Linked DNA regions of Mus musculus: all the other regions are reported to be linked to region 1. The links are microRNA targets in miRTarBase. Many come from high-throughput screens and were not tested one by one. Region 1 holds a microRNA gene; each other region holds the end of a gene's coding sequence.
The links. Region 1 holds the annotated microRNA mmu-miR-19b-3p (UGUGCAAAUCCAUGCAAAACUGA, at 4,476-4,498, opposite strand). A microRNA usually pairs through its seed, bases 2 to 8, with sites in the 3' UTR of a target mRNA and lowers its output. Matches are read on the target gene's strand: a 7mer-m8 pairs with bases 2 to 8, a 7mer-A1 pairs with bases 2 to 7 and ends in A, and an 8mer does both.

Region 1 (7,118 bases):
CCAATTAAGACACCTCCTCCAGTGTCTATGTAACCATTTTCCGCTGTATATTCTTGCAAATGGCTTTTGGAATTATAGAAAAGTTTAGAAGCTCTCTTGTTGAGATGGTGGGCAAAATCTTATTAAATATGTCCATGAATTTGTTGGTGAGAGATACCTTAGCCTATATTTATTTGGCCCTCCTCCTGTCGTGAATCAAACCCTTGTCTCCCACTTAGAAAATAGCCTACTGGCCTCTGGCCCAATTGGCCAAATGGGCACTTCACTGCTGGCAGGTAGACCTTACCAAACTGAAACCTAAGAACCTTTCATTCTGTCTCATTGGGACAGAATTGTGTGATCTGATCCTAGCTTACTTGTCCCCTCACACATATGAAATGGTCTGAATTCAACAGTTCCTTTGTTTTTAATACTTGTCTTTGGAGTTGAACCCAGGCCTCTTTTTCTACACCCCTTCCTCGGCTGCTCAGTGCAGTTCTTTGAGTACCCATTCCTTCTCTTGCTTCTTCTGGAAACAACTGCCTTCAAAGCCCCTCCTTGCTCTGCTCCACCTGTGTTCATTCTACTTGGGGCCTATTCCCTTTGATGTTGCTTTTGGGAAGTACTTTCTGCCACACCCTGCCCAAGTTCGATGCTTCTCTCCCTGTTTACAAATTGGAATTTATCAGATTGATCTCTGATGGGCTACTTGACACACCTTCAACCAATCACTGCTCAAGTCTGCTTTCTTGGTAGAGTAAACCTGGATGGACTACGACCTGGGAGTGAGGATTCTTTCAGTTAATAAATTGTTTGTTTGGGACAGAGTTCTCTGTATAACAGCCCTGGCTGTCCTGGACTTTGCTTTGTAGACTAAACTGGCCTTGAATTCAGAGATCCATCTGCCTCTGCCTGAGTACTTGGATTAAAGGTGGGAGCCACCCTGCTCGGCTCACCTAAAAGTTTGTACCATAGTTTCTACACCCCTTTTGCTATGCTCTGTTTCAAAACTAATGACAATTTCTAAAGCCACACCTCAACTTCCAAATCACTGTTTATCATAACTAGTTGGTTTAATTAGTCACAATGTCACACTGACTTTTCCATCAAGGAAGATCCAATACCTTTGAGAAGCCCATGAGACTACCTTCTTACTCAAAGGTAGTAATTTTGCTCGGTAACTGTCCACTAAACTTACTGAAATGCTCAGAAAATGATTATCTATATGGGTCTGAATACATATATTATTAATTCTTCCCATAACAAATATAAATCTCCTCAATCACAAATGCTCTACACAAATGACATTAAGCACAAGACAATTATTTTATAGTCTAACTTTTTGTTTGTGGTGCAGGAGATGAAACCCAGTGCCTCTCACGTGCTAGGCAAGTGCTCCACTTCTCGTGTGTAACTTAAACAAGAATAAAACCCTAATTTTCGAAGAACAGTGGTGACACACAGCTTTCATCCCAGCACTCAGGAGGCAGGAAGATCCAAGGCCAGCCTGATTTAGAGTGAGTTGCAGGACAGCCAAGGCTATGGGGGGGGGGGTGGAACCACCTGTTTCCAAAAATAAAATAATGAATTTAATTTTCAAGACTTGCAAAGGCCCTATGATCAAGATCAGCCATCATTTTAATTTCAGACAAAGGTCTTGGGACTCTTAGGAGGCAGTGATCTACCCTAGCCCCTCGAGACATGCCTAGTAAAACTAGTAACTACAGTTACCTTCTGGATACGTGCCACCTTAAGTACCAGTGGACTACCAATGGCAATACACTTGTATTAAAGCAGACCCCTAGTAGTACTAAAGATTATAACAAATAAGCTTTAATCCCCACTTTTTAAATCTACTTTATTAGAAGGGAAGGAGGTCTTTGCTACCACATCAAACTTAACTACAATTAGGCACCAATAAAATACTAAGTCATAGCACAGGAAGTATCTCATTATTTTGTTTCTGTAATTACTTCAAACATTAGTGACTTAAGAAAATCCTACATACTTAATAGAGAATTTACTAGCCTCCATCTCTTTTCATTAAGATTTCATGTCATCACAGCAGTTAAAATCCATGTTCTTGACCACTCTTCACCTCCCAAGGAGAACAGAAGCCCCACCTCACTGGTGTAGGACCAATGTTATCACTGTATTTTCCCTAATGAAATGGAAGCTTAGGGAACTAGCTCAAAGGTGAAGTATAATTCAGTAAAAAAATTCTAACTAAATTGAACCTATGTAATGAGGTCCCCAAAAAGTAATAAAAGGCTTTCAAAGTTGGGAAATTCCAAGGCACAAAGAATGACACATAGTGATACCTCTCCCTTCTGATGAGAACTCAATGTTCAGATAGGTAAAACCAACACATACCTACCTAGTTTTTCCACTTACCAAAGACAGGGCAGTGTTAACATTAACACATGAAACAGAATGAGAAAGTGGGGTAAAAAATGTGCCTGAGTCCTTTCAACTTTATGAATTTGAAACTTAAAATAGAACCGGGCGTTTTTTTTTTTTTAACCTATAGTTCTTTGGGCGAGCACCATCAGCACCTGAGACTGGGTTACAAAGGCAAATCCTGAGGGCTCACCTGATGACAGTCACTCTCTGGAGATGGGACTGGCAGGGTTTTCAGTAGTGATAAAACCAAAGACTCAACGCAAACTTAAATTCCAGTTATATTCAAATGTTCCTTCAAGACATACCCTATAAAATTTGTTTTCAGCTCAGTGGGGGAAGGGCACTTGCCATCGGGCCTAAGAAATCTAAGATGTATGTCCATGACCCACATGACTAGCTCCCTACAGTTGTTCTCAAATCACCACATGACACACACACTAAATAAGTAGATAGATAGATAGATAGATAGATAGATAGATAGATAGATAGATAGATAGATAAATGTATGTAAATGCTGGAAGTCTAGGAGTGGAGGGGTGCCTACCTTTAATCTCAGCATTCTAGAAGCAGAAACACACAGATCTCCGCAAGTTCAAGGCTAGCCTAGTTTACAAATTGAGTTCCAAGCTAACCAGAGCTACATACCAAGACGCTATTTTAGAAAAGCCAATAGTATTGCTAATTTAAAAAGAGAGCCATTGCCATATCCAGGGATCCATCCCATAATCAGCTTCCAAACGCTGACACCATTGCATACACTAGCAAGATTTTCCTGAAAGGACCCAGATATAGCTGTCTCTTGTGAGACTATGCTGGGGCCTAGCAAACACAGAAGTGGATGATCACAGTCAGCTATTGGATGGATCACAGGGTCCCCAATGGAGGAGCTAGAGAAAGTACCCAAGGAGCTAAAGGGATCTGCAACCCTATAGGTGGAACAACAATATGAACTAACCAGTACCCCGGAGCTCTTGTCTCTAGCTGCATATGTATCAAAAGATGGCCTAGTCAGCCATCACTGGAAAGAGAGGCCCTTTGGACTTGCAAACTTTATATGCCCCAGTACAGGGGAACGCCAGGGCCAAAAAGGGGGAGTGGGTGGGTAGGGGAGTGGGGGTGGGTGGGTATGGGGGACTTTTGGGATAGCATTGGAAATGTAAACGAGGAAAATACCTAATAAAAAAAAAGAGAGAAAAAAAAGAGAGCCCCAGGCTGGAGAGATGGCTCAGTGGTTAAGAGCACTGACTGCTCTTCCAGCGGTACTGAGTTCAAATCCCAGCAACCACATGGTGGCTCACAACCATCTGGAATGGGGTCTGATGCCACCTTCTGGTGTCTATGGAGACAGCTACAGTGTACTTGTCATATAATAAATAAATAAATAAATAAATAAATAGAATCTTTTAAAAAAGAAAAAAGAAACCCATTTTTTTTCAGACTTATATATCAGCTTTATTTTGCAAATTTCAGGTTTGTTTACATTCAGTGCAATCAAAATGTCAGGATTTCAAATATATTTAAAAATATGTAGTTTTAAAAAATTAGACTCCAAGCTGGGCGTGGTGGCGCACGCCTTTGATCCCAGCACTTGGGAGGCAGAGGCAGGCAGATTTCTGAGTTCGAGGCCACCCTGAGTGAGTTCCAGGACAGCCAGGGCTATACAGAGAAACTCTGTCTTGAAAAACCAAAAAAAAAAAAAAAAAATCCACTCCAAATGTGTTCAAAGCAATGACTAGCTAAAGGATTTTACAATCTTACTATAGCACTGATAGACGGCTGTCCACATAGGTCCTGCGGTTTACAGATGGATACCGTGCAATTTTCCTCCTATTACACCAACCAAAATTGCATCGTGTTCCACCTGATAACAGCAAAACAGTTCATTTCATAATTACAGTCTAACATAACTTACAATACTCAGAAACTAAAAGACGATTAAAAACCCTCTTTCTTCCTCAGGCCGGGACAAGTGCAATACTTTATATCTAACACAAGTAATGCCACCAATCCCCACCTGTGGATGAATGGGCATGGATGCTGAAGATGTGCATAAAGGTGTCCATTACGATGCAGAAAGGTACACATTCCCACAATCAGTTTTGCATGGATTTGCACAGCCATATATTCACATATACGCTGAACTGCAAATCTGCAAAACTAATCGTAAGTAGCAATGTCCTTGCGCTGTAGTTGCTTCAACAAGACCTTGGTTGATCCAGGAGTACTAGAAGTGCTCACACTGCAGTAGAGTGGTATAAAAACTACCTGCACTATGAGCACTTTGGCACTACTAGGATCCGAGCTTGTTCTTCTACACAACTGTATACTACAGTCTCCGCCATCTGTTTCTCGGCGAAACACTGAAAGAGCCTTTGAAACTTGTGCCGTTCAAATCATTTCTCAAGATATGCTTTTCAAATGCAAGGTAAGAAGTAGCCTGTGCGAGAAGGGGCATTTAGGGCAGTAGATTGTAAGCTGCTTCACTAACAGCACTAGATGCACCTTAACACAAGAGACACATTACAAGGAGCAGCTCAAAAACATCCACAATCTAACTATGCAGAAACCAGGGGACTCAGCGGCCTCTGATTAAATCACCATGGTAATGTAAGAAGTGCTGGCACTGCAGTAGAACTCAAAAAGCTACCTGCACTGTTAGCACTTTGACATGGCCAAGGCATACTCCAGGAGTGTAACCTTGAAGTCTTCCACGAACTCTTCTTTGCCAGATCTGCAGACTCACCTGGATAAACACACACACACACACACAGCAAGTAAGTGAACTGTGAGTTACTATTTCTAAAACAAGTTTGCCTTCCGTTAAGAGTGCAAATGGGGTTGTGTTACTTCAAACATTAATAAGCTCAATTATTTACACAGACTTAAACATGAATAACACTGGCAATCTCAGAATGTCTGACTCTTAAGAGTAAGAGGATTTTGGACTCCCTCTCCGTCTAAGGAAATTTGAGATTCGCATCCCAGAAAATTTGCAGAGCTGTAATATCCACCATGGTTTTCTAAGAGGCAAGAGCCCAGGAAAAGATGTAAGCAAAAAAATAAATAAATAACATTAGGGTGAGTACTGACGTCTTGAGCTCATCCAGAGCTTTGGGGAGCCACTCGGAAGGTCTCTATGTTTGATTACATGAAGCATCCCTGCCCCCAGCCCATTAAGAGAAAATGATAGAAATTTCAGAGCCGCTTTAAGAAACAGTTTTACACTCTTCACATACCGCACAGATGGCCTAGAGATGTCACATTTTCATCTATTTCAAAGGGCTCTACTTCTGTTTAAACATTTATGGACCCATTTTCTCCATTAAACCTAAAGAAGTCAGATTAGCTCTTTGGCTTCATGTCATTATCTTCCACAGGAAAAACCTCTCTCATTTCCAAGTGTGTATCTTACCCAGGAAAATGCTGCAGAGGACAGTCTGAGGGGTCACGAGCTCCCTCCCTCCCATGATGGAATGTTTGTGTTGATGGGGGGACACCAATAAACTTCAGGGACACAAAACTTGAAATGTGTTCAATGAGAAAGGATATTTTAAATGTTGGAACTTTTCGAAGCCACTTAGTGACTAAGATAGTTCTTAAAACATTTTAAATATAAATTAGCAAAACTTTTGAAGTAAATATGAAATCTGCTTCCTATAGTGCAAGTATTGGCTTATTATACTTTTCTTCTTGAACTGGGTTCCTACAACTAGAGATTTTTGCCTCCACTAAAAATATATTACAAAACCTGACTCAACTTCGCAAAACCATACCTCAGCCCTCCAGAGAAAGCTCCTTCTAGCTAATACCTTTCTTTAACACATCTGCTCTCCATCATATATACTAGAAAGTCGCTGTACAACTTCTAAAATTGCAAAGAGGACCCAGTCTTTTACCATTTCGGGATTTTCTCTGGTCTATTCCCGCATCTTCAGCAGCGGCTCCAGTAGAGATCTGTGAACCTCCTGGGAACGCAGGGTGTGCTCCAGCCAGTCATGCCACGCGCTTAGGTCTTCAAGACACCTTAGCGGCCACCAAAATTAAACAGAAAGAAACAAAGCATTATGGGAAACGGAGTTCTCCATTCAAAGCCCCCAAAACGCGCCAAGCTTAAGCCTCTCCCTCCATTCTCGGGTTGGTGGGAGGGAAACCAAGGTAGGTCGGGAGTCCTCCCGCCCCACACCCCACGTGCACCCTGGCATTTGACCACCCACAAGTTCTCCAGAAACCTTCAGAGCAACAAGGGAGAGTCCTTTTCTCACGAGTTGCCTGGCACCCCTCAACTACACTCAGGTACTTTGCTTTTCTCAAGTCTTGCCAGCTCCATCCCCTCCCACCTTAGTTAACTCTCTGGGATCACAGCTGCGCCCGCGGAGGTACGCATCTCCTGGTCCAGTCATCCAGAACAAGCGCGTAGGGGATCTGCCAGTGACCCGCCCTGGCAGGTGGCGCGCGCGACCATCCCGCTGCTGTCCTGCCTGCCAGGATCAGGGAACCGCACGCATCTTCCTAGAGCTCCTGGCCCTCTGCTCTCCTAGCTGGTGGAGGAGGGAGGGCGGCGAGGAGCCACGTGCAGGAAACGCGCCCCGGCGGCCCACGCACACCTAACCCCCAAAGTGTCCGCGCAGCACCACTTGTGCACACGAGCCTGTGGCAGCGGTCCGTCACCTCGAGCTGCGTCCCAAAGCCCGATCCCTGGGAAAAGCCCGCCCTTCGCCTTTAATAGCCTAGGGGGG
Region 2 (7,118 bases), not on the chromosome of region 1:
AATGAGTTTGTTCAAGGCCACTGTGAATTCTGAAGATGAATTTCTAGACATCGAAAAGCCTACATAGTGCACCGTCCCAAGACTGACATGGCTGGTTGACACAGTGGGCTTTTCCTAGAGGGCAGTCTTCAGGCAGAACCACCCCTGTCCTCCTTGTCACGGGTTTTATCATGGTGTCTCCTGAAGAGGAGGAGATGGGAATGTGTGGTGGGCCTTTGTGTTTAGTGCTTGAAGACTGATGTGTTTGTGGCTCTATCAGTGTGAGGAAGTGAATGTCCCTTAGAAAGGCCCACCCACTTTTCTTCACCCCTACCTTCACCCAGTTGTCTGTTTGGGAGAGACTAGTTGTCCAGCTGGGAGAGTAGTAACCAACTGTAATCCCAGTGTTTGGGAGGCTGAGGCAAAAGGATCTCGGGTTCAGTGTCAGCCTAAGATACATAATAAGACATTCGAGACATAGTAAGGTACAACTTGTGACAGTGCTGTCAAAAAATAAATATATAAATTATATATACATATGCATACATACATATAGACGTGAGATTAGAGCCAGGAGACCACAGTAATTCTGTAAATCTGATCACATATTGCCCAAGATTGGACTAGATAGCATCTTAACTTCCTTCGAGTTCTCAGTTCTAAACGTGGACCCAGGCCAAACTTTCTGGGCAATGAGCATATCTCCTACAGCCCCAGGCACTCTTGAACAAAGACGTCCCCCTCTCTCTGCAGGTGTGCTGGCCATCCTCATCCCACGCCTGGACCTGGTCATCTCCCTGGTGGGCTCTGTGAGCAGCAGCGCCCTGGCCCTCATCATCCCGCCCCTGCTGGAGGTGGTCACCTACTATGGAGAGGGCATTAGCCCCCTGACCGTCACCAAGGATGCCCTCATCAGCATCCTGGGCTTCGTGGGCTTCGTGGTGGGGACCTACGAGTCTCTGTGTGAGCTGATCCAGCCAAGCCATAGCGACTCCTCTACCAATTCCACCAGTGCCTTCATATAAGGATCTGGGTGTGCTCCCTCCACCAGCCTCACCCTGTGTGTCTCCCAGTAGTGTCCCCACATCCTCAGGTATAGTCCAGCCTCTGGAAAAAGGCAGGGTTGCTGCCTGGGCACTGCTCTATCTGGCATTGGACCCTTGGGTAACCTGGGCTAGATGAGACTGAGACTGGGGGAGGGCGGGGAGCAGCCCCTCCACTTGTGATGGTGCCGTCGCTGCTCTCCTTCATCACGCCTCCTCCCTCGGCACTGCCCCCCCCGCCACCCCCCCGCCCCCCCCCCCCCCCCCCGTCTGACCAGCCACGCCTAAATTATTCCCATTGCACAGCTCACTTTATTTAAAAGGTAGTCTCTGGCTCCCGACATTTTCTCCTTTCCTGGGCCAGGCCTAGATTAAATAAGTGGGGACTCTCATGTTTTACAAAGCCAGGCCTCTTTCTCATCAGGCTCCCAAATGCTGTACCTCACTGTTCCACCCAGCTGAGTCCTGAGAGGGTTCTGGATGCCCCCCCACCCCCAATAGTTTACAGCCAGCCCTGAATGCTGAAGGTTTCCATCTGCTGTCTGACTTGGGGAACCCACAGGCCACGTCACCTCTTCTCGTTTCCTCTGTGTAGGTCACAGTGCTGCCCCTTGATTTCTTTAAAGACAATGAGACACTGCTCAGGCTGGAGGTATTTACGGTGTATTTAAGCTTAGGGTTCAGGCTCTTGACTTCAGACCTGGCATCACAGCTTCAGCAGCTTGGCACTTGGCTTCTCCTTCCACTAAGACACCTGCTCCAGGGGACCTTGGATATGCCCTCCGCCCTGCCCTCTTGGCCATTTTGTTGTTTGTTTGTCTGTTTTGTTTTTGTTTTGTTTCCAGACAGGGTCTCATGTCACCAGAGTTGGCTTTGAACTTGCTTGCTGTGTAGTCAAGGATGACGATGGGCTCTCAGTTCTCCTACCGTTGCCTCAAGTATGGAGGTTACTAGCATGAGCTGCCACTCCCAGCTGGCTCAGAGACCTCAAGCAGATCATGTGAGCATGCACCGCCTCTGGAAGCCCCATGCTTCTGTGGACTTCCATTCATGAGACTGACTCCATATGGGCACTCGGAAGTACTCGTGTATACAAGGCTAAGGACGGGGCGCAGTTCCTCTTCATAGACACTACGCACAAGGGTCATTGTTTACAGTTCCTGGGGAGAGAGCAGAATCCCTGCCTTGCCCCAAGCTGCCTCTGTATCCTGGGCTTCCAAGGAACCACTAAACACTAACTGTGGCCCATACCTGCCCCTATTATGCCTCTCACAGAGTCACCTGGCTTCTAGGTCAGTCATCTTAGGGTGTGCCTTTAGAGGCCACTGAGAGTCCATGACTTGCCACTGCTCCCCTGTTGATGTCAGGATTCCCAAAGGACAGCTGTTGGCTCTCCATCTCTGGGTTATGTGTGTGTGTGTGTGTGTGTGTGTGTGTGTGTGTGTGTGTGTGTGTGATAGTGAACACGTGTGCATGCACACATATGCACACTACAGAGCGGTTTGTGTCTCCTCTCTGGTTACCAGGCTCTTAACTACAGATAGGATTTGCCTTGAAACTCGAGTTAGAGAAAGAAGCAAGAATTTATCAGAGTGCTGCTTTTGTGTTTGACAGAAGCTAGTGGCCCAACCTTGCAGCCAAGCCCCTTCTCGCTGTTCTGTCCAGAGCCTGCTGCGTGACTTCTAGGTCACAGGATGGGAAGGATGGTTTCTGGCTACAGCAGCCACTGTCCTTAGCAGCGTTGCTAGGAGTAGCCATTGCTGTCTTGGCCCCGAGGAGAGCAATGCTTTTTTCCCTTTCTGGCATCAGCATCCCCACAGGTGCTTATGTGGCCTGGTTCCAGCTGGGACTCACAGACGCCTTGCTTTCTGAAGTCTCAGGCTGGAAAGTGACCAAAGTAGGTTTAGACGCTGGCCAGCAACCCAACTGTGGGCCAGGCTCTCTCTTAGAAGCCACCTGAGCTTGGCTTCCTGGGTGGGAAGAAAGTCTATTCTGAACTTTTACAGGCGCTCCTACCCAGGTCTAGACCCATTGTCCAAGGCCAGCTACTCTTCAGGGCCCCTGGCCTGACACGGTGTGGTGTGCCTTCTGTAGCATTTGGCTGAGGGCAGCTTCCTTGGTACCTTGGTATGGCCCACATCTTTTGACCTCTTGCTATACTCCTGAGGTACTGTCAGTTTGGTGACCTGACTCTTTGAGCAAGGTCAGGGCCTTTCTGGATGGACACCAGGAAGCTGCTAAGCACATAGTGCCAGGCGCCACACACAGCCCAGGCGCCCACAGGAGCCCTGAGTCAGAGCCCTCCTGACCCCTCCCACTGTCAGTTTGGAGCCAGATGGCCCCCGGTGGGAAAACAGATAAATGGGAGCTTGGGCAGAACAATATAGACAAGGCTTGTGGAAACTAAGCCTGAATCCAGATGCCCCAGAGGCAGACATGCCCCATCCTTGCCAGCCCATTCCTTGTCTGTACCCAAAGTCAGAGGCCAGTTATCGAAAACTTGAATGTGAGCACTTGCTGGGAAGCATGTGATCTAGCCCGAGCAACCCACCGTGCCCTTAGCTGTGGCATCACTTGTGCTGCTGTCTGGGTCGGGAGAGGTAGAGGTTAGCTTAGGCCCACCTGTCTCACCTCACTAGCCACACCTATGGGCAGGTGCTCCTGTCTGCTCTCTTCCCCTGGAAGTCTTGTGCTAAGTGTGATCAGTGGTCTGAAGCTAGATCCCAGAGCCTGTCCTTAGGCTGTCTCATCCTCAGATTTCTCCCTCCCGTCAGTGTCTGCTCTTTGGATTCCATTGTTTCACTTGATCCTTCCAGGAAGTGCAGAGCTCAGATCATGTTTACAGCACTCACTACCCCCTTCTAATGCCCGCCCGCCCACCTGCCTGCCCGACAAGGGCTCTGGACAAGGGTTTGCTTTCCCTGCTAGCCAGCCCCAGCCACCATTCCCACTGGCACACTGAGGCTTTCTGGGGCCTGATATGGGAACCAGACAGAGTGGTCGGACGTGGCAATCAGGAGGGTGGCGCCAAGCTGGCTTGAGAATTTAATTTTCCAAAGTACATTACAAATCAGATACCATTAGGGGAAAGCGGGCCATGTGGCTCATCTTTGAAACTGTGGTCAATACTTGAAGGCACTTTAGTCCTGCTGGCCGCGCCAGCTTCCGTCTGGCCGGTGTCTTCTTTTTCTGTGTGTCCCGAGCCATTCACTGGTCAGAGACATTAAACCGTGCTCATAAGCAGTTATCAAAAAAAAGCAGCAGAAAATGAGGCTGGAAGGAGCCTGGTGTTTACCCTGTTCTTTGGTTTAAATCAAGCCGATGTTGAAGAAGCTGGAATTTTTTTTTTATGAATAATAAAATCCCACGTCTATATCGTAAAGCTGTCAGTATATGTTGAAATCAAGGAACGAGAGAACTGCCCTACAGAGAGTCTTAACAGCCAGACAGTACCGTGTGCTGGCGCCTACCTGGATGTGCATTGCGTACACGCGTGGGGCATGTCAGAGCTTCAGATGTGCATTGCGAACATGCATGGGTCATGTCATAGCTTCAGATGTGCATTGTGTACATGTGTGGGTCATGTCAGAGCTTCTAGGTCTCATTTGGGTTGCACATATGGATCTTGTGTTAAATTTCCACTTCAATAAATGAATTTTATTTTTTATTTTTGAGAGGTTGCAAACTGTGTCTTTGTTTTCACACTTCAGGGAAAAAAAATCACTGAGTTAGGACAATCTGACAAAGGGACAGGGGTCTGAGAAAGGGAAAGCAACCCTGTTTCCCTAAACCACTTCGATATTCTCCCGAAATCCTGGGTCGCCTTCTGCATATACCAGTGGGTAGTTTTAGGGATCAGCTTGGTTTTTCAGTCAAATATGAGCCTGGGTGTTTGCAAATGTTAACATTTAGAGCAGTTGACAAAGTAAAGATTACCCTTGCTAGTGTGGGTGGCTTCATCACATCCAAAAGTTCTTAAACCGTGGCCTCCCTGAGGAGGAATCCTATCTCCAGACCACAAGACCAGCTTCTCAGCTTCCACACTTGAGTGGAGACCAGCCCTAGGAACTGTACACCTGTCAGCCACAGCTAAGCTAGTTCTCCTTTGAAATTTGTTTCTATATTCTCTCTCTCTCTCTCTCTCTCTCTCTCTCTCTCTCTCACACACACACACACACATACACACACACACAGAGAGAGAGAGAGAGAGAGAGAGAGAGAGAGAGAGAGAAAGAGAGAGAGAGAATTTACCTACATTAACTGAAATGCCTACTGAGTCACCAGGCAGAATAAATAATTAGGTCACAATTGCATGTGTGGCCAACCACTCATGTTCCTTGTCTGGTGCATGACTGTGTGTGCACACATACACTGAGTCAACCCAAGGTCCCAAAGAAAGAGCCAGTCAGTCTTTACAGGCCACCAGCTGGTACAAGGAACCACAACACAGCAGGGGGCACAAGGAACTAGAACACAGCAGGGGTCGGTACCAGAGTTCCTGTGCTTCTCCTGGTACCTGCCTCTTCCCTTTGCTTACAGCCTCAGCCAGGAGGGTGAAGGGAGTGTCAGAAGGATGCGGGGCTTAGAAAACTGAAGGGAGTCAACACTTATTTACATGATCGTCTGCATCAAGGCTCCATTCCTATGTAATGGCTATAATTCAAACCCCAGATCTCCAAGTTCTTCAAGGTAAGCCCTGCTCTGCTGGAGACATGCGTATGACTGACAGTGAGCTGACCGGTATGACTGACAGTGAGCTGACCCGGCTTTCCTAGGTAGGCAGCCTCTTCATTTCTGCCCTTTGCAGATGTGCTTGGAGACCGTGAATCTTGAATGGTACATTTGTCCTAGACCAGCAGCTCTCAGTCTCCTTTCGGAGATGGGAGGTTGAATGACCCTTTCACAAGAGTCCCCCTAAGACCAATGGAACACACACGCATTTACATCATGAATCATAATAGTACCAAAAATACAGTTATGAAGTAGCAACAAAAATAATTTTATGGTTGGGGTCACCACAACACGCAGAACTGTATTAAAGGGTCGCAGCATTAGGACGGTTGAGAACCGCTCTCATAGACCATGGTCTCCCTCATCTTTTTAAATAGATTGAATTCTGATCTACATATAGCAAAATTTGCCTATTTTTCAATGTGCAGCTTGGTGAGACCATATCAATAAAAATGTCGAAGGTTGGGGCTGGAGGAATGGCTCAGTGGTTAAGAGCACTGACTGCTCTTCCAAAGGTCCCGAGTTCAAATTCAGCAACCACATGGTGGCTCACAACCATCCATAATGAGATCTGATGCCCTCTTCTGGTGTGTTGGGAGACAGCTACAGTGTACTTAACATGTAATAAATAAATAAATCTTTAAAAAGAAATGTAGATGGTTGCCTTCTAAAATATATTGTGATAATATGCATATATATGTGTGCAAGTGTGCACACCTAGATGTTGGGTATCCTGCTTACTCCCTGGAGACAAGATTTCTCACTGAACCTGGAGCTAGGCTGGATGTTAGCCAAATCCGGAAATTCTCTAGTCTGCCCCTATGACACAGGCTGTAAGCATGTATGTCCATACCTTAGGTTTTAATGTGGGTTCTGGGTATCTGAACACAGGTCTTCACGCTTGTGCAGAAAACATTCTTACCCACTGAGCCACCTCCCATCTCTCCATTCTACTCTGCCCTTGGCCCTGGAGCAAAGGTGTGCGGATGTGTGGACTACTCAGAGGCTGGCTGCCTTTTCAATGGTAATGGTAGAATCATGTTTTGAGACGTTATGTCAATGACAATCAACAGTTTTCTATATAGCATCTTATTTAAAGGGAAAGAAACTTCTGGCAATAGCTCCTTTGCACATAGAGACATTAGAGGGTTTTTAAAAATGTGTCTGGGATTCACATTTTCTAACTAGCCAGGACTCGCCTCCTGAGACCCCTGGTTCCTGCCTCCCACCACTCTCACCATGCCTCATTTGCTTCATCTCCTTTAGAGGGCACAGAGAAGTTTCTCACCCCCAAGACCTGCTGGGTGCCCTGAGTCTTCACATCATTACTTGTGCCTGACCTAGCAGGCTGCCCTTGTCTATGCC
Region 3 (7,118 bases), not on the chromosome of region 1:
GTAGTGTTGAGGCACCTGAGGCAAGCCTTCAGGCTGTGGTTGCTGTGTGCAGTGTAGAGAGGCCAGGCTTCAGAGTTGCACTGGCTGGTTTGTTGCTGGGAGCTAAGTTGTTACTCTTTTTTTGCCAGTACTTCATGACCATGATCATTTCTCTTGCTGCGGTGGCTTGGGTGGGACAGCAAGTTCACAACCTGCTTCTCACCTACCTGATTGGTAAGTCGTTGAAGAAACATCACATGTTCAACTTAGCAGGGAAGTCTGACTGTGGTGTGTAGTCAGTAAATAGATTGAGTTTTCACAGGACCTATGGGAGTGGGGCAAGGTGAGAAGGAAAGGTTCCAGTCTGTGCTGGGTCACAGCTCAGATTGTGCCCTGTGTCACCAAGGCCTGGGTTTGATGCCCAGTACTGGATAAAGCTGTCATTCCAGCCCTAGATGCAGAAGGAGTAGAAGTTCAAGGTCATCCCTTTCTATATGCTACAGGTCGGGTTCAAAACCAGCCCAGCTAGAGATTCAAGTCAGGGCTTAAGATAGAGCTCCATGGCTAAAAACATGCTTGGTTCAATTCCTGGCTCACAGCAACCTATGACTCTAGTCTCAGGGCATCTGATAGCCTCTGCTGGATTTTGTGGGCACTGGGCACACATATATTCCACATATATGCTTCTAGACAAAGCACTTGTGTATACACATAAAATACAAATCTTTTTTAAAAAGACTGGTCTCTGTTTTCCTGGAGTTCATTAAAGCCAGGTAGGTCGTGAGCAAAGAGGAGTGAGATAGAAGGCACTGTAGTGTGAGCGTGAGTGCACCTTCAGGAGGCACCTTGGCTGCAGTTTTGGGCTGAATCCTGTTGGATGGCTTTTGTGTCACTTCTCCACAGTCCACCCACATTCAACTGTAGTCATCTTCAGAGAGTTAAATATTGTCTCCTCAACTTCATTTTTTTTTTTTTCATTTCTAGTGACATTTGTGCTGTTGCTTCCTGGACTAAACCAACATGGGATCATTCTGAAGTACATTGGAATGGCCAAAAGGGAGATAAACAAACTTCTCAAGCAAAAAGAAAAGAAAAATGAGTAGTGTGGCTGCCGCGGAGTGTGCCCTGGCCCTGGGCACTGAAGTGTTACAGTGGCTCGTTGCTTCCCTCACTCTGCCCTTGTTAATAGAAATTCTCACAGGCCAGGCTCTGTGCGGGCTCTAGTGCCAGGTGTAGCTGGGTACATTCCCCGTCAGTGTGACTTCCTTTCATTTTGACAACTTCCTTCCTTTAAGATGCTAAGTGGTGAACTTTACTGTTTTGTACAGTGAACTGTGACTTTGTTGATGTTTGCTTTAGCTATATTCAAGGCAGTGGTCTGTGGCTACAGGAAGCTGGTTCTACTGTCTGCTTAACAAACTGTCTTTGTGAGTACAGAGATTGGGTTTACCACTTCTGCTGAGGAGACCACTTAAAATTCATTCCTGAGTTTCCACTGTGGGAGAATACCCATGGAATAAGATAAAAAATTAATTCCACACCCTAGTGTGTGTAAGTTCCTCGCTCATAGGAAATGCAACAGTTTGAGGGAGCATTGCCCCTTTGTTCCTGTGAGGACTGGCAGGCTTTGACTGACCTCTCATTCCCTTTGCACTGCTTCAGGTTAGTTCTAGTCCATAATGGCCTTTGAGCAGCAAGCTTTCAGAAGATTATATTTGAGGATTGTAGCAGTTTCTTTGTTTCAGATTGTCAGCTGACTTAAAATGTTTGTGACTTTCCTGTAAGGGCAGCCAGGGATAAAAGTATCCTTTGTTCAATGAGTAGAAAACTAGATTATCTATTAATATTTAAGACCAGGAAAAAAAAAAAAGAGGCTTAAGAGTAAGCCTGGAAAATCTCACTTGTTTTCGTAGTATTGGCTGTATTTCAGTGCCTCCAGCTTTGCACTTGAGAGACAAGTGTTTACTGCTGTTTGACTTTCCCCTTGACATTTCTCAGAAAAATGCAGGGCTGCAGCTGAGAGCAGACTGCTGATTGGTGACTCTGGTCTGCCTAGCTTTTGCAACTCTTTAAGCTTACTGTGATCACGTGCCCTCTCAGTAGGGGGCTTTTAGAGCAGTTGAAATCTGCAGAACTGAACCTCTGAGGGCCAAAATAGGACATTTGGGAACAACTCCTTAACCCATGAACTAGCTGTAACATAGTTTGTGGATCCATGCACTGATGCTGTGAAGCCTGCCCCTGTGTGTATCTGTTCTCTCACCTCCCTAGCACTGTAAGCAGCGGTGCCTCTTGTAGCATGTGTGTTTGTTTTTTAATGTTTCATGACTCCCACTTTGATTTTACATGTTTTCTTGTAAATAAGCCTGCCTTCCTACCTGGAATTTGTGTGTGTGTGACTAATACATGTTCTACGAGTTAACTACTTTGGCAGTTTTAATCATTTCTTCTTTGTTTTGTGGTAAAGGGGAAAAATTAAAAACCAGTTGGAACCCTTTTGTCTCACTTTCTTTGTTAACTCTGAGTTTATGAATCTAACTAGTGACCACCTGTTGTCATTGGAGCTCTTCTCTAAGGTACCCATGTCAGATGGAAAGGGAGAACACTGAAGAGGAGGAGACAGTGGAGACTCAAAAGATCGTGTACTTAAGCTCCCAAAGCAGGTGGTTGATAATCATCAGTAGTTGATAATCATTTGTCTGCCTTTTAAAATTTGGGTGTCATAACTTGCGGTCTCATTGGGAACAGGCTCCATCCACCCTTAAGCATACTTCCCTTTCTGCAAGTTCAAGTAAAGTCACAAATCCTATGGCTTTGAAATTGCTGACTTGTAATCTCTTGCGGCCAGCCCTGACTTCATGGGAAGACTTCAAAAGTTTAAAATCACAAAAGAAAACTCTGTTCTCTCATTGTGGTAATTGCTCAGGTCAGCTGTGTCTGAGTGCCCTCCTGAGGTTCTCTCACATTCAGGCTCACATGGAGACAGACATTAGGATCTGTGCCCTGTAGGTCTGGGCCTTTGGTACTTCTAGACAGGCTCACAGAAAGCCTGGGTAGGCCTTGGACTCCTGGCCCTTCTGCCTTCACCTCAAACAGTCATGTGTCACTTCACCCAACCTAGTTTTTAAGTGTCTGTAAGGTGTAGTTAAATGCCAGCAGCTCATCTTTGATTAGTTCTAATTTGCCTCTAACAAATCACAAACGTGAGTCAGTTTTTACTGGGTTCTTTTTTTTCCACTTCCCTCCAGCCCAGCCACCCCAAATTTCCCAATTTCTATACAAGTGCACACACATACACACACCCCCTCTAGGAGCTCATCAGCCTGGGGCCATCTAGATTCTGTGGCACACCAAGGTCACAACACTGGGATCAGCTAGCCAAATCCCCACAGAACTAACTAGGATCTCAGATTCATTAACTACCACCCCTCCCCACTGCTGCTTTGATCTGAATTCCTGAAGTCATTCCTATTGGGTCCATGTTAAGGAAATTGGGAGACTGGATGTGAGTTTGAGGTCAGTCTGAAATAGACCTGTGCTCAAAATCCTTATAAACCTTGGGAAAGCCTGTGGTCCTTTTGTGGGGTGAATTATGACTGGGAATGAAGACTTCCCCTGTTGTGAGAGAAGATGAAGGGGACTCTGGCGGCCAGAGCATGACAAAGATGGTTCTGGCGGGCCTTTTTCTTCTCCCTTCCTCTTTTCTAAAAACTATTAGGTTACATTCCTAAAGCTCTCTTATTTGGTCACTTATTTGCTCACTTCCTTCTGAGGCTGACTACCAAGGTCCAGCTTTCAAAGGATGGAGGTCCAGCAACCAAAAGTCCCCTTGCAGCTACCCTAATTAACGTGTCTAACCAGAGTTAGACACTTCATCCTAACAAGAGGTTTTTTCCCCCTTTACCCTCATAAACTGTCGTTTGCTCAAGGGCCACACCTGTCTCCTCTCTATGCAGAGGCAGTTCTTTGTTCCCAGGACTTACATCCTTTCCCTCCCTCTCCCTTGTTCCCCTCTCCCTCACCTTCTATCTCCTGTCTTTGTCTCTCATTCCCTGTCCTTTGTTCCTCTGGGGGAAATAAATCTTGTGCCAAACACTGCTGAGCACTGCCACATTTGTGTGGTCTCTCAAAAGCTCCTCTGAGTGGTTCTATCATCCCTGTTTTAGAGATGGAGAAACTGATTTGTCCATTCAGTTTTTTCTTCAACTATATGTCGAGGACCTACTATGTGGCAGATGCTTCTCCAGACTTAGTGTGAACAGCAATGAACGAAGCTTCCCGAACCTCTGTAGGCTTGAAGCTTAATGGTCCAGGCTAGGAGTCAACAGATTCACTTGAGGTGTAACCCCAGTTACAGAAGTGAGGCAGACAGATCACAGGGCTGCATAATAGGAGGAGGAGGAGGAGGAGGAGGAGGAGGAGGAGGAGGAGGAGGAGGAGGAGGAGGAGGAGTGTAACCCCAGTTACAAAAGTGAAGCAGACAGATCACAGGGCTGCATAATAAGAGGAGGAGGAGGAAGAAAAGTGGACCTTAAGCCGGGCATGGTGGCACACGCCTTGAATCCCAGCACTCAGGAGGCAGAGGCAAGCGGATTTTTGAGTTCGAGGCCAGCCTGGTCTACAGTGAGTTCCAGGACAGCCAGGGCTATACAGAGAAACCCTGTCTCGAAAAACAAAAAAACAAACAAAAAAAAAAAAAAAAAAAAAAAAGAGAGAGAGAGCGAGAGAAGCGGACCATGGCAGTAATCCCTGTTACTAGTCAAGATTTTCATGACTCCGGGGACAGCATTGGGCCACTACTGGTCTCCAAAAGCCAAATTCAAGCCAAACCAACCAAAACAATAATAACAAAAGCCAAGTGCTGTGATGTTTAATCTCAGCACTGGGAGGCAGAGGCAGGTGGAGGCTAGAAGTCAGCTTGGTCTTCATAGTTCCAGCCCAGCCGAAGCTACCTAGTGAGTTTCATTGTGGCAAACAAAACTAAACGCAAGAACCCGCAGTGGCGTTAATGCCAAAACCCTAGAGGCTGAGGCAGGACTGCCGCGAGTTTCAGAGCGACTAGCAGCCCACCATTTCTAGTTTCATCTGCCCCTCCCAGAGGAGGCCCCGCCCTCGCATTGGTTGTCCTATAAGAAATCACAGGGTTTTGGGTTTTTTTTTTTTAAGTGTGTGACCATGAAGTCTCGCGATAGCGCTTCCGCTTCCCATAATTCCGTGCGTTTGCCCGGCCCACTCTCTTTCTGCCATCTTCCCTCGCCGGTGAGTGAGTGTTTGTGAAACTCCGTGTTCATCCGTGTGGTATCTGTGCCATCCCTTTACCCCGTGTTCGCTTTCGGAGTCCCGTGGGCCTATAGATCCCTGCAGGGGCCGTAGTCTCCGTCTGCCGGGGTCGGGGGCTATGGGTAGCCCTTTGCGGGAGCCGGCCCACTGCAACAGGCCGGGCTCGGCTCGGGCCGGCGGGGACGGTGGCCCGCGTGGGCCCTGCAGCCTCCGGTGTCTGCGGGAGCTCTGGAGTCCCGAGTGTCCCACGCGGCCGTGGCCAGGGTTGGCGCGGGGAGTTAGGCTCAGCCACTCACTGCCGAGTTAGGGAACCACGTCGTGGTTTACTCTTGGCGCGTAAAATACGCCTTGGCAGCGTCCTGAGGAGCCGTGGAGGTAGCCTATGGGTTGTGGCCGTTCAGTAGGCTGGCTGGGCTCCCTGTCACGTACTGCCTCTTCTCCCGAAAGGGGGTGTGTGTGTGTGTCTGTGTGTTAAATGGTTACCTGTAAATGAGTTAAGTCGCGTTAACCTCTTGACACACTGCTGGCTTTGAAAATCTTGGCAGACGGTGCCAGAACTTTTTCCTAATGACAGTTCCCGCACCCCCACTTTCAGTTTGGCTAGCTGGTCGGTCCCACCATTTCGAAGGCTATCTTCTGTGTGGTGAGGCTCGGCTTGTGTCATTCTCTCCCCAGCTATTTTGTGTGGTGGGTGGTATGAATAGGAGTGTCTTGGAGGGCTAGACTCTGAAGAACAGTGCTGAACAGTCGGGAAATTGTAGTGAATTTTTCCTGGTTCTTGGGAATGTTGCTTAGACCTAGGAAAAGCTAATGGGGGTAGGACAGCATGATTGGGTGTTGATGCAAACCCCGGCTTTTCTTTCCACAGCCACCATGGTGCGAATGAATGTTCTGGCGGATGCTCTCAAGAGCATCAACAACGCTGAGAAGAGAGGCAAACGCCAGGTCCTCATCAGGCCATGTTCTAAAGTCATCGTTCGGTTCTTAACCGTGATGATGAAGCACGGTGAGTATTGGTGTCTTGGGTTTTTGACAGTGCTGGATCTGGGAGGGAAAGACAGTAACCGTTCAAGAAAAGAATGGGTGTGTTGATGCTAACTCCCAAAAATTTTTATGTGATACGGAGCTTTCAGAATTCTGATGCAGAGACTCAGATGAGAGAAAAATCTAATAGGCAAAAAGTTAGTGTTGGCGTAAAGGTTTAGGTCTCAAATTGATGTCTGGTTTGACGCTGGTCACTTGTTTTATAGGATACATTGGTGAATTTGAGATCATTGATGATCACAGAGCTGGGAAGATTGTTGTGAACCTCACAGGAAGGTTGAACAAGGTAAGACATCTTGCTTCTCAAATTGCAGCTGTCTGCCACTTCACAGTGTTGTCATTCTTGCTCTACTTCCCTGATTTAAGGAATTGGCTAAGGCTATGCTTCTGTTTTAGTACCCACATTTCACTTGGTGTCTTTGGTTACTTGTTCAAATTATTGGTTAGTTTTGTGTGGGATAGAGCTAAACTCTGGTAACGCTGGAGTGGGAAACTGCTGATTTCAGTAGCTTAAACTATGGCTCAGTGTATGAATAACTCAGTCTTGTACTGGTGGTGTGTGTGGCCTGTTTATTTTCAAGATGGAAGTCTCAACACATAGAGAGGTTGATCTATACTCTGTCAAACTGCTGTATTAAAGTTACACGATGCACTTGTCCAGTGGTGTGCTGGCTTTTAATAAAATTGTTAATCTTGAGTAAGTGGCTAAGAGTTCATGGTCTGTTGGTGTAGGTTGTAGCTGTCTGAGTTCTAGGCTGCTCGTCAGTTTTAATTGTCATCAGCATAGCCAAATAGACTTTCTGACTCCATGGTTT
Region 4 (7,118 bases), not on the chromosome of region 1:
GTAGAAGCATGACCATGCTGTTGTTCAGATGTGGGTGCCCTGGGAAAGCATGCTGGTCTCAGGGTGTCCCTGCCTCACCACCTCTCTGCGGCCGGCAGCCTTCAGGCTGTGTTCCCATGGGTCAGACACTAGATGGTCCTCCACTTCCAAATTTTGGGCCAAGTTGAGTCAAGTGCTAGTTGGCCATGGGCTGTGGTACCGACAGAGACAGGGTACTAGGCTGCCTTAGTTAGCTGATACATGTCTGTCGGTCAGGAGCCTGTTGTCTTAGTTGACCTAGAACAGGACTCAGCAGGTGTGAGTGCCCGGGGGCAGGTGTGAGTAAGTGCCCAGCAGCAGGTGTGAGTGCCCGGGGGCAGGTGTGAGTGCCTGGGGGCAGGTGTGAGTGCCCCAAGGCAGGTGTTCTTCAGCCTCTCAGGCCCTTGCCTTGAGCTGGGCATATCCTACTCCTGTGTAGGCACCTTCTGACCCAAAGCTGTGTGTGTGCTTGCAGGACACTGGGGATACCCTGGGCAGCGTCCTCAGGGGCTTCTTCACCATCCGCAAGAGGGAGCCAGGGGGGCGTCTGCCCACATCTTCCACTTGCTTCAACCTGCTTAAGCTGCCCAACTACAGCAAGAAGAGCGTACTGCGAGAGAAACTACGCTATGCCATCAGCATGAACACGGGCTTTGAGCTCTCCTAACACAGCCTGGTCTCGCTACCACAGAGCCCCCAGGAGTGTGGCCAGGGTACCCACAGCCCTCAGACCCTCTCAATAGCCATGAGACACCCAAGGTTGGGGATGCTACACAGTGCCCTCCATGCACTGGGGACAGAGGGCTGATGAAAATAACCCCCCAGTTCTGCCCTGTGGGGCCTGAGACCTGGGCCTAGTGATTACAGAGCAACTCCTGGAGATTCTGTGAGGCTTTCTTCTCTTGCCCTCTGAGGAGGACACAAGGCCTGTGCCTGTGAGCTCCTCCTTCCGTTCTGAAAACTCAGGTACGGCCTCGCCAAGCCTCTATGCACAGCAAAGTCCCTGCCTCTACCCTGTCCACAGTGGCCTCTTCCCAGGCAACCAAGCCCAGCTCCTGCCAGGGAGGCCACTGAGCACAGTCAGGGTCTCTCCTATAGGGATCCAGGTGGTCCACACCACAGCCCTCCTTCCCAAGTCCTCAGCAGGCCACGCTGTCAGGGAACCCTTGCTGTCAGCCCCTGGCCTGTGCATCAGTGTCCTAGCTTGGGAAAGAAACCCATCGTTCCCCTGGAGAACAGCCCATTTCTGGAGTACCCAGAGCCTGCTCGCTCTGGGCATCTGCCCCCTATTCACCTTACGGAGAACCACATGAGACCCTACCTACAGTGCCCAGCCGCCTGGGCAGTACTTTATTCCAGGGACTTCAGAGTCCGTCCTTTTGCACTGACAGGCCCTGGGAGCTGAGGATACGTCCCACACATCTCATCTCCACACCGCCTCTGTTGGCGCTTGCTCTTTTGTCTGGGACCTCATTCTCTTTTCCCACACACTGCGCTCCTGGGCCCTCCCTTTCCCCATTTCCCTTAAGAACTTTCTCCAGATTCAGGATGTTGAGGCAGAGGCCCAGGGCTTAGTAACCTGCTAGTAGCCACTTGTCTCCTGCCTCATCAGGTTCTTGTCTCCCTCCCACCCTGATGGAGGAGTCCTGGCCCCTCCTCCACTCCGTGGAGCCAGCTTAGGGCTACAGCGCTCAAAGCAAGAAAACGCCTTCCCCAAGGAGCCTGCACAGTGGGAAGTGGCCGTGCCCTGTTCTCACTTTAGCAAAGATCTTGGGCTGGAGCATGGGGTAGGCCCAGGAAAGCCCCTGGGGTTCTGGAAGGTGGCTCCAGCTTCACGTCTGCCAACCATGTGTGTTCCCAGCTTGCCCGCAGAGCCCTGTGCCCCGTGCACAGCCTGCACAGGTAACACAGAGCCTGAGAGTTACAGCGGGCACACGGGAGAGTTAGTTGTAAGCACCGATATCAACTTGACCCCTTTGTCTTTGACCTAGGGCTGTCTGTCGGTCACCTAGAGTCTGCTTCCCGGCAGTTATGTCATAGCTGCTGTTTGATGACATCTCAGCAGCTCCTGGTGGCGCCAGAAGGAAGCAGGGGTTTTTGTTTTTGTAGGTAACTCGTGGACTAAGACTTGTCAGGGCTTTATTAAATTTGTACTTGAGCACACGACGGCTCTGTTCTGGTTTCTACACAGCCCCGTGCCCAGACGGTTTGGGTCACATGAAGCACCCATAGGAGCGGGAAGACAAGAGCTGCTTTGACATCCTGGCCTTGGAGCTGAGCTAGGAGTTGTCACCTGTGCCCAGCTTTGAAGTGACATTTCAGAGAAGCATCCCTAGAGCCAGTCTCCCTCCGCTCCCTCCCACCCGGCAGGGTACCTGGTCAACATGCGTAGCTTTGCAGTTTATGATGTATGTGGCACCTACCGAAGCCAGCTTGTTCGATGGGGAGAGAAACCAGATATCTCAAGATGGATCTAACCTGAGGTAGCTCAGATGCCCCAGTGTCCCCACTAACAGAAAAATACTGCAGACCCCCCCGCCCCGAGACACATAATCTCCTGCAGTGTGGTGCTCACCCACCTAAAACTAAAGCCTGGCTCTGGCTTTGTACCTTTTAGAACTGAAGTTGCCAGCGCAAAAAGCTAGCATGCAGCAAGCAGGATATTTTGATAGGCCAGCAGGACCTGTGGGTGCTCGTGAACATTTAGTTGGCGCAAAACCCTGAGGAAATGCCACTGGCAGTGCCAAAGCTGCTGGCCTTTATCCTCTGGATCAGGTAGAGTTGGTGGCTTCTCCCTAAGTTGGTCATTATATGAATGTGGCGTGCCCTGGGTCCTTTCTTTTTTACTTTCTGAGATTGGGTGTACTGTGTAGCCCCAGCTGCTTGAGTGCTGGGGTCACAGGTTCCCGTGTCACCACATGTCTAATCCAGGGGTTCGGGACAGGAAGATTTCAAGCTTCCGGTCAGCCTTTGATAAACAGCAGACCCATGTGGTCTCAGACCAAAAAAAACAAAGCAAGGGCCAGGGCCACCCTCCAGAGCCTCTGACCAAGCTTCCGGACTCCCGACTCCCTCACAGCCAGGGTGGACAGAGAATAAAGGTCACCTGCCATTTCTTTGAAGTTTACACAGGCTGGGGACTCATCTGTGTGGAACAGTGCCTTAGCAAATGCACTTCAGCCCCCAGGAGCCTGGCCTGAAGTGTTTGCACACCTGAGGAGTTTGCCCGAGTGTGCATCTCCAGAAACGGGCTGTGCCTCCCATGACAGCATGAGACCAGTGTAGGAGACTGCATCAAGACCCAGGCCAGCGGTCCCCACCCCTTGGTGCCTCGTTCCTAATGAAATCATTTCTTCACTGTGGTCCTGACAGCCAACGCTGCTGATGAGCGTATGTGTAACAGGTGGGGTTGTTCCGGAGCCTGCGCCACGGACTCCACCATCCATCCAGAGCCCGGCGCATTCTGCCACAGGGCTCTTGTCCCAGCCCTGCTGCCCACCAACTGAGAGCTCAGGCCAGAGCCCCTTGCTTTTGGAACCGCAGTTTCCCCTCTAGGACAGCAGAGAAGGGGGCGTAAGAGACACCAGTCTCTACCGACTGCGGGCAGCTGGTGATTCCCGGTTATCTCAGGGACAGAGTAAACATTCTCTCTGGGGTTCCTTTGTTCTTCAGACTTCTGGGTAGGAACATTTATCAGCAGACATCTTAGACCTGGGTAGGAACAGTCAGAAATCTCAGAGATCTGCTGTCCAGACAAAGATGGTGCTGGTGCCCCTGGCCCAGAGCCCTGGCTGCACCCCAAGCTTCCACCTCGTTCCCTGGACAATGCTCCTGGCTTGGGCTCCTTCAAATTTCCCTTAGACCCTTGTTGGAGCTTGGTGCACACGGGGGCAGGGGAGGTGGTTTGAAGAAACAAGGCCAGGGGCTCCAGCAGACAGAATACAATGATGAACTTGGCCTCTGAGACATTCAGGTCACCCTGGGCACCTGAGCAGTGCCAACCTCTCAGCTTCACTCTGCGCTCATGCCTGTGTAGTAACACCCGTGGGTCGTCTGGCCGACAGACGGCTGGAATCGCTGGTCAGGTGGGCGAGACTGGTCCAGTCCACCGTGCTTGGAACCTCATTCTCCTCATCTGAGAAAACGGAGCAGTGAGTTTTCTCTGCCATAGCTAGCTCCACTGTGGGACTGCACGGGCAGCCCCAGCACTTGGCAAGCTCAAGCAGAAAGGTTTCAAGTTCAAGACTAGCCAGGGATACAGAGTCAGGGGTGGCAGCACACCGCTTTAATGCCAGCGCTCAGGATGCAGGAGCAGGGAGACCGCTGAGTTTAAAGGCAGCCTGATCTGCATTCACGGGCAAACCATGCATAGTTTCGATGGAGAGGCTCAGAAAGGAAGTGTGTGTGTGTGTGTGTGTGTGTGTGTGTGTTTTCACTCAGCAGCTGGCACCATGGAGGTGGAAAAGGGGGGGGGGGCACTGTGGCAGAGGCAGAAGCAGAAAGGCCAAACGTGTAAAGGTGGGCATGATAGCCCAAGGTCAGCGTGGGCACCACATGCCAAACAGTGATGGCCAAGGCTGCCCACTGTGCCGAGCCTCTGCACGGATGATCGCTGTAAACCCACCAGGGATCTTGGGAACCGGGGTGGAGCTGACCTCAGTCTACCATGGGTTAGAGAGGCGAACAGGCTTGCAGGAGATCACAAGTCAAAAACTCCACAACTGAGACTCAGTCCTGGGCCCGTGTGACTCTGCTGCCCAAAGGGTGTGTGCTGGATGGGGGAACGGGGGCTCAGGGCTCAGGCTAGCTTCCAAACTGGGCTTTTGAAGTCAGTGGGGGGTAAACAGGCAGGCCGTGTTAGGCTTGGAAGAGAGGTCTTTGGGGGAGATGGGAGCAAAGCTATGCCAGGGCAAACATGATGCTGCTTACCTGGGCCTCTGCCAGTACTAGGCACCTGCACAGCATCTGTATCCATGATCCTTTCCCTATAGGGGCTCCGGTACACTCTGTAACCTTCTGTCCCACGTAGGACACTGTCCAGGGGAGGGAGGGTCCTCTGTGCATACTGTAGGAGCTTTGGTACAGTCTGCTGGATGGTTTTGTCTCTGGCCCAGATGGTGCCAGATGGACTAAGCAGCTGGCAGGTGTTCCAGCCGGGAGCAGGCCCAGGAAGCCTGACGGGCATTCATTCACCTAACAAATAGGCCCAGGGAACTTCTGTGCCGCAGGCTGGGACAGGGGTTGTGACAGCCACAAGCAGTGTGGGCACTGTCCCAAGGAGTTATAATCCAATAAAAAATGTCATTGCATTCCTTGGTCACTCTGTCCAGTGCCCTGTGTTACCCCATTATGATACCCACTTAACAGCTAGGAAAACTGAGGTTCAGAAACTGTCCCGCAAGTATTCCAGGCTGGAACACTGCTATGCCAAACCCCTCATCGGGACTGAGTGGGCAGAAAGATGGGAGACACTTCTTGGCAAGTTTAAAGGGATGCACTGGACTTTGTCTGCAGCTCTTCCCGACCCTATCACTCAGCAAAGCCTTCTGGAAACTGTCACGGTCACACCCGTTGCTGAAGCATCCCTACTGGCTTTTTGAAAAACTAAACTCCCAAGCTCTGGCTTCCCAAGTCTTGCAAACTCAGAGGAAGCAACGGGCCATGGAGCAGGCCCTGGTCCCCAATTCCCAACCAAAGGGAAGAACAAGACTTGAGGGTCGGGGGTGCTCCTGACAGCCTGCTTTGTGATATTCACTCTTCCCTGGACCTTTAGAAACTCACTGCAGCCAGGAAGGCAAGAGAAAGGCCAGGACCTCACCCTTTCAGCTCACCCGAGCTCTGTGGGTCTAAAGACCCCTTGCCAGCCGAGGCAAAGAACCAGGCGAGACAAGGGTCCTCCGCAGTGGGCATGGCTCCTGCATCTGAACGAGTTCTGTGGAGAGGGACACCATGTGTGCCTTCCTTGTCCCTCAGCTCCCAGATATTTTCATAATGATGGTGAGCACACCACTGGCTGGACCGTAGCAACCATAGCTCCTGGTTTTGCCTTTCTGTGTGCTATGCCAATGGTCCCTGGGAAACAAGCTGTTGGTTCCCACCACCAAGAGCCGATCAAATGGAAGCAGCCCACCTCCATCCGGGGTGGTCTCCAGTCATCCAGGGTTCTTGAATATCCCATGGCAGGAGGCAGCTGAGCCTCAGAAACACCTCATAGATAGATAGTGTTGTCAGGCCGTGTACCCACACTGCAGGTGGTTAGAAGCCAGGGCAGCTCAGGTCCCTGGGGAGTGGAAACAGAAGCTGGGTCTCCAAGATGCAGTGTCAGCCAATGGCCTGTCCTCAGTGCACATGCATGTGTCGTGGAGGTTCAGCGCATACATGGCTCGTGGACATTCAGCACATATGTGTCTCATGGAAATTCAGTAGATGGGCCTGGCTCGGGTGTTGTTCTTCCACATTAGGTCCGCAGACATTGTTGGTCAACTGTGCCAGGCATCGCACAGGCCTGGGATTCAGTGTCTGCTGAGAGCCAGTCCCCACATGGGAGCGAGGAAGATGACTTCTGGTGTGTGCACAAGTTAGGAAGCACTGTCAGGATCACGCTGGACAAGGAGAGGCCAATCAGATATCATTGATGAAATGCCTACACAGCAAGCGTCCCCAGAGGTCCCTGCTGCTTCCTGACTTGACAAAGCCCACTCTGGCCTCCGGGTGTTGGTGGTGAAGACTCAGGTTCTGATCCACCATGGGCCCCTTCGTCACTGTGATTAGGAGCAGTCACACATCCTCTCCAGGCCCGCAAAAGGGGCTGGCATCTTCCCGGGAGGACTACTGAGATCAAATGTGGCTATAGCACAGTGTGTGTCACACACATAAGCACTTACACAGGCAAGGGAAGTCACCCAAGCCAGCTGTCAACTGCCCACCTGACCCTCCAATGGATTAAACTAGCCACGCATCAGTTTCTGGTGGGAGTACCTTCTCAGACACATGTTCTTGGCTATTTTACCAGCGTACAGACACAAAGAGCTTAGTCACAAATAAAGCTATGATGTTGCATGGTCTGCCACTGTCATAAATGTGACCAAAATGTCATTGCA

Region 2: miRTarBase lists Slc36a1 as a target of mmu-miR-19b-3p. Seed matches in the 3' UTR shown: 7mer-A1 at 1,321-1,327 and 7mer-A1 at 4,633-4,639.
Region 3: miRTarBase lists Arl6ip1 as a target of mmu-miR-19b-3p. Seed matches in the 3' UTR shown: 7mer-m8 at 1,627-1,633 and 7mer-m8 at 1,920-1,926.
Region 4: the mRNA of Ube3b is a reported target of mmu-miR-19b-3p. Seed matches in the 3' UTR shown: 7mer-m8 at 1,397-1,403.

Annotation. Positions count from the first base shown.
Region 1 is chrX:52,737,516-52,744,633 of GRCm38, forward strand. Mir19b-2 (microRNA 19b-2) reads right to left here and starts at 4,551; the gene lies at 4,468-4,551. It overlaps Mir363 (microRNA 363), which reads right to left and starts at 4,252; the gene lies at 4,178-4,252. Mir92-2 (microRNA 92-2) reads right to left here and starts at 4,413; the gene lies at 4,323-4,413. Mir20b (microRNA 20b) reads right to left here and starts at 4,677; the gene lies at 4,598-4,677. It also overlaps Mir18b, Mir106a and Kis2.
Region 2 is chr11:55,231,635-55,238,752 of GRCm38, forward strand. Slc36a1 (solute carrier family 36 (proton/amino acid symporter), member 1) reads left to right here. Exons shown (of 11, transcript NM_153139.4): 11 at 733-4,696. The coding sequence ends at 1,004. Among named protein-coding and RNA genes, the nearest start is that of Slc36a1, 31 kb to the left of the region's middle.
Region 3 is chr7:118,114,256-118,121,373 of GRCm38, reverse strand. It overlaps Arl6ip1 (ADP-ribosylation factor-like 6 interacting protein 1), which reads left to right. Exons shown (of 6, transcript NM_019419.2): 5 at 129-213; 6 at 964-2,484. The coding sequence ends at 1,082. Rps15a (ribosomal protein S15A) reads left to right here and starts at 5,227. Exons shown (of 5, transcript NM_170669.2): 1 at 5,227-5,238; 2 at 6,128-6,265; 3 at 6,510-6,589. The coding sequence starts at 6,133.
Region 4 is chr5:114,418,985-114,426,102 of GRCm38, forward strand. It overlaps Ube3b (ubiquitin protein ligase E3B), which reads left to right. Exons shown (of 28, transcript NM_054093.3): 28 at 494-2,185. The coding sequence ends at 685. Among named protein-coding and RNA genes, the nearest start is that of Mir7027, 18 kb to the left of the region's middle.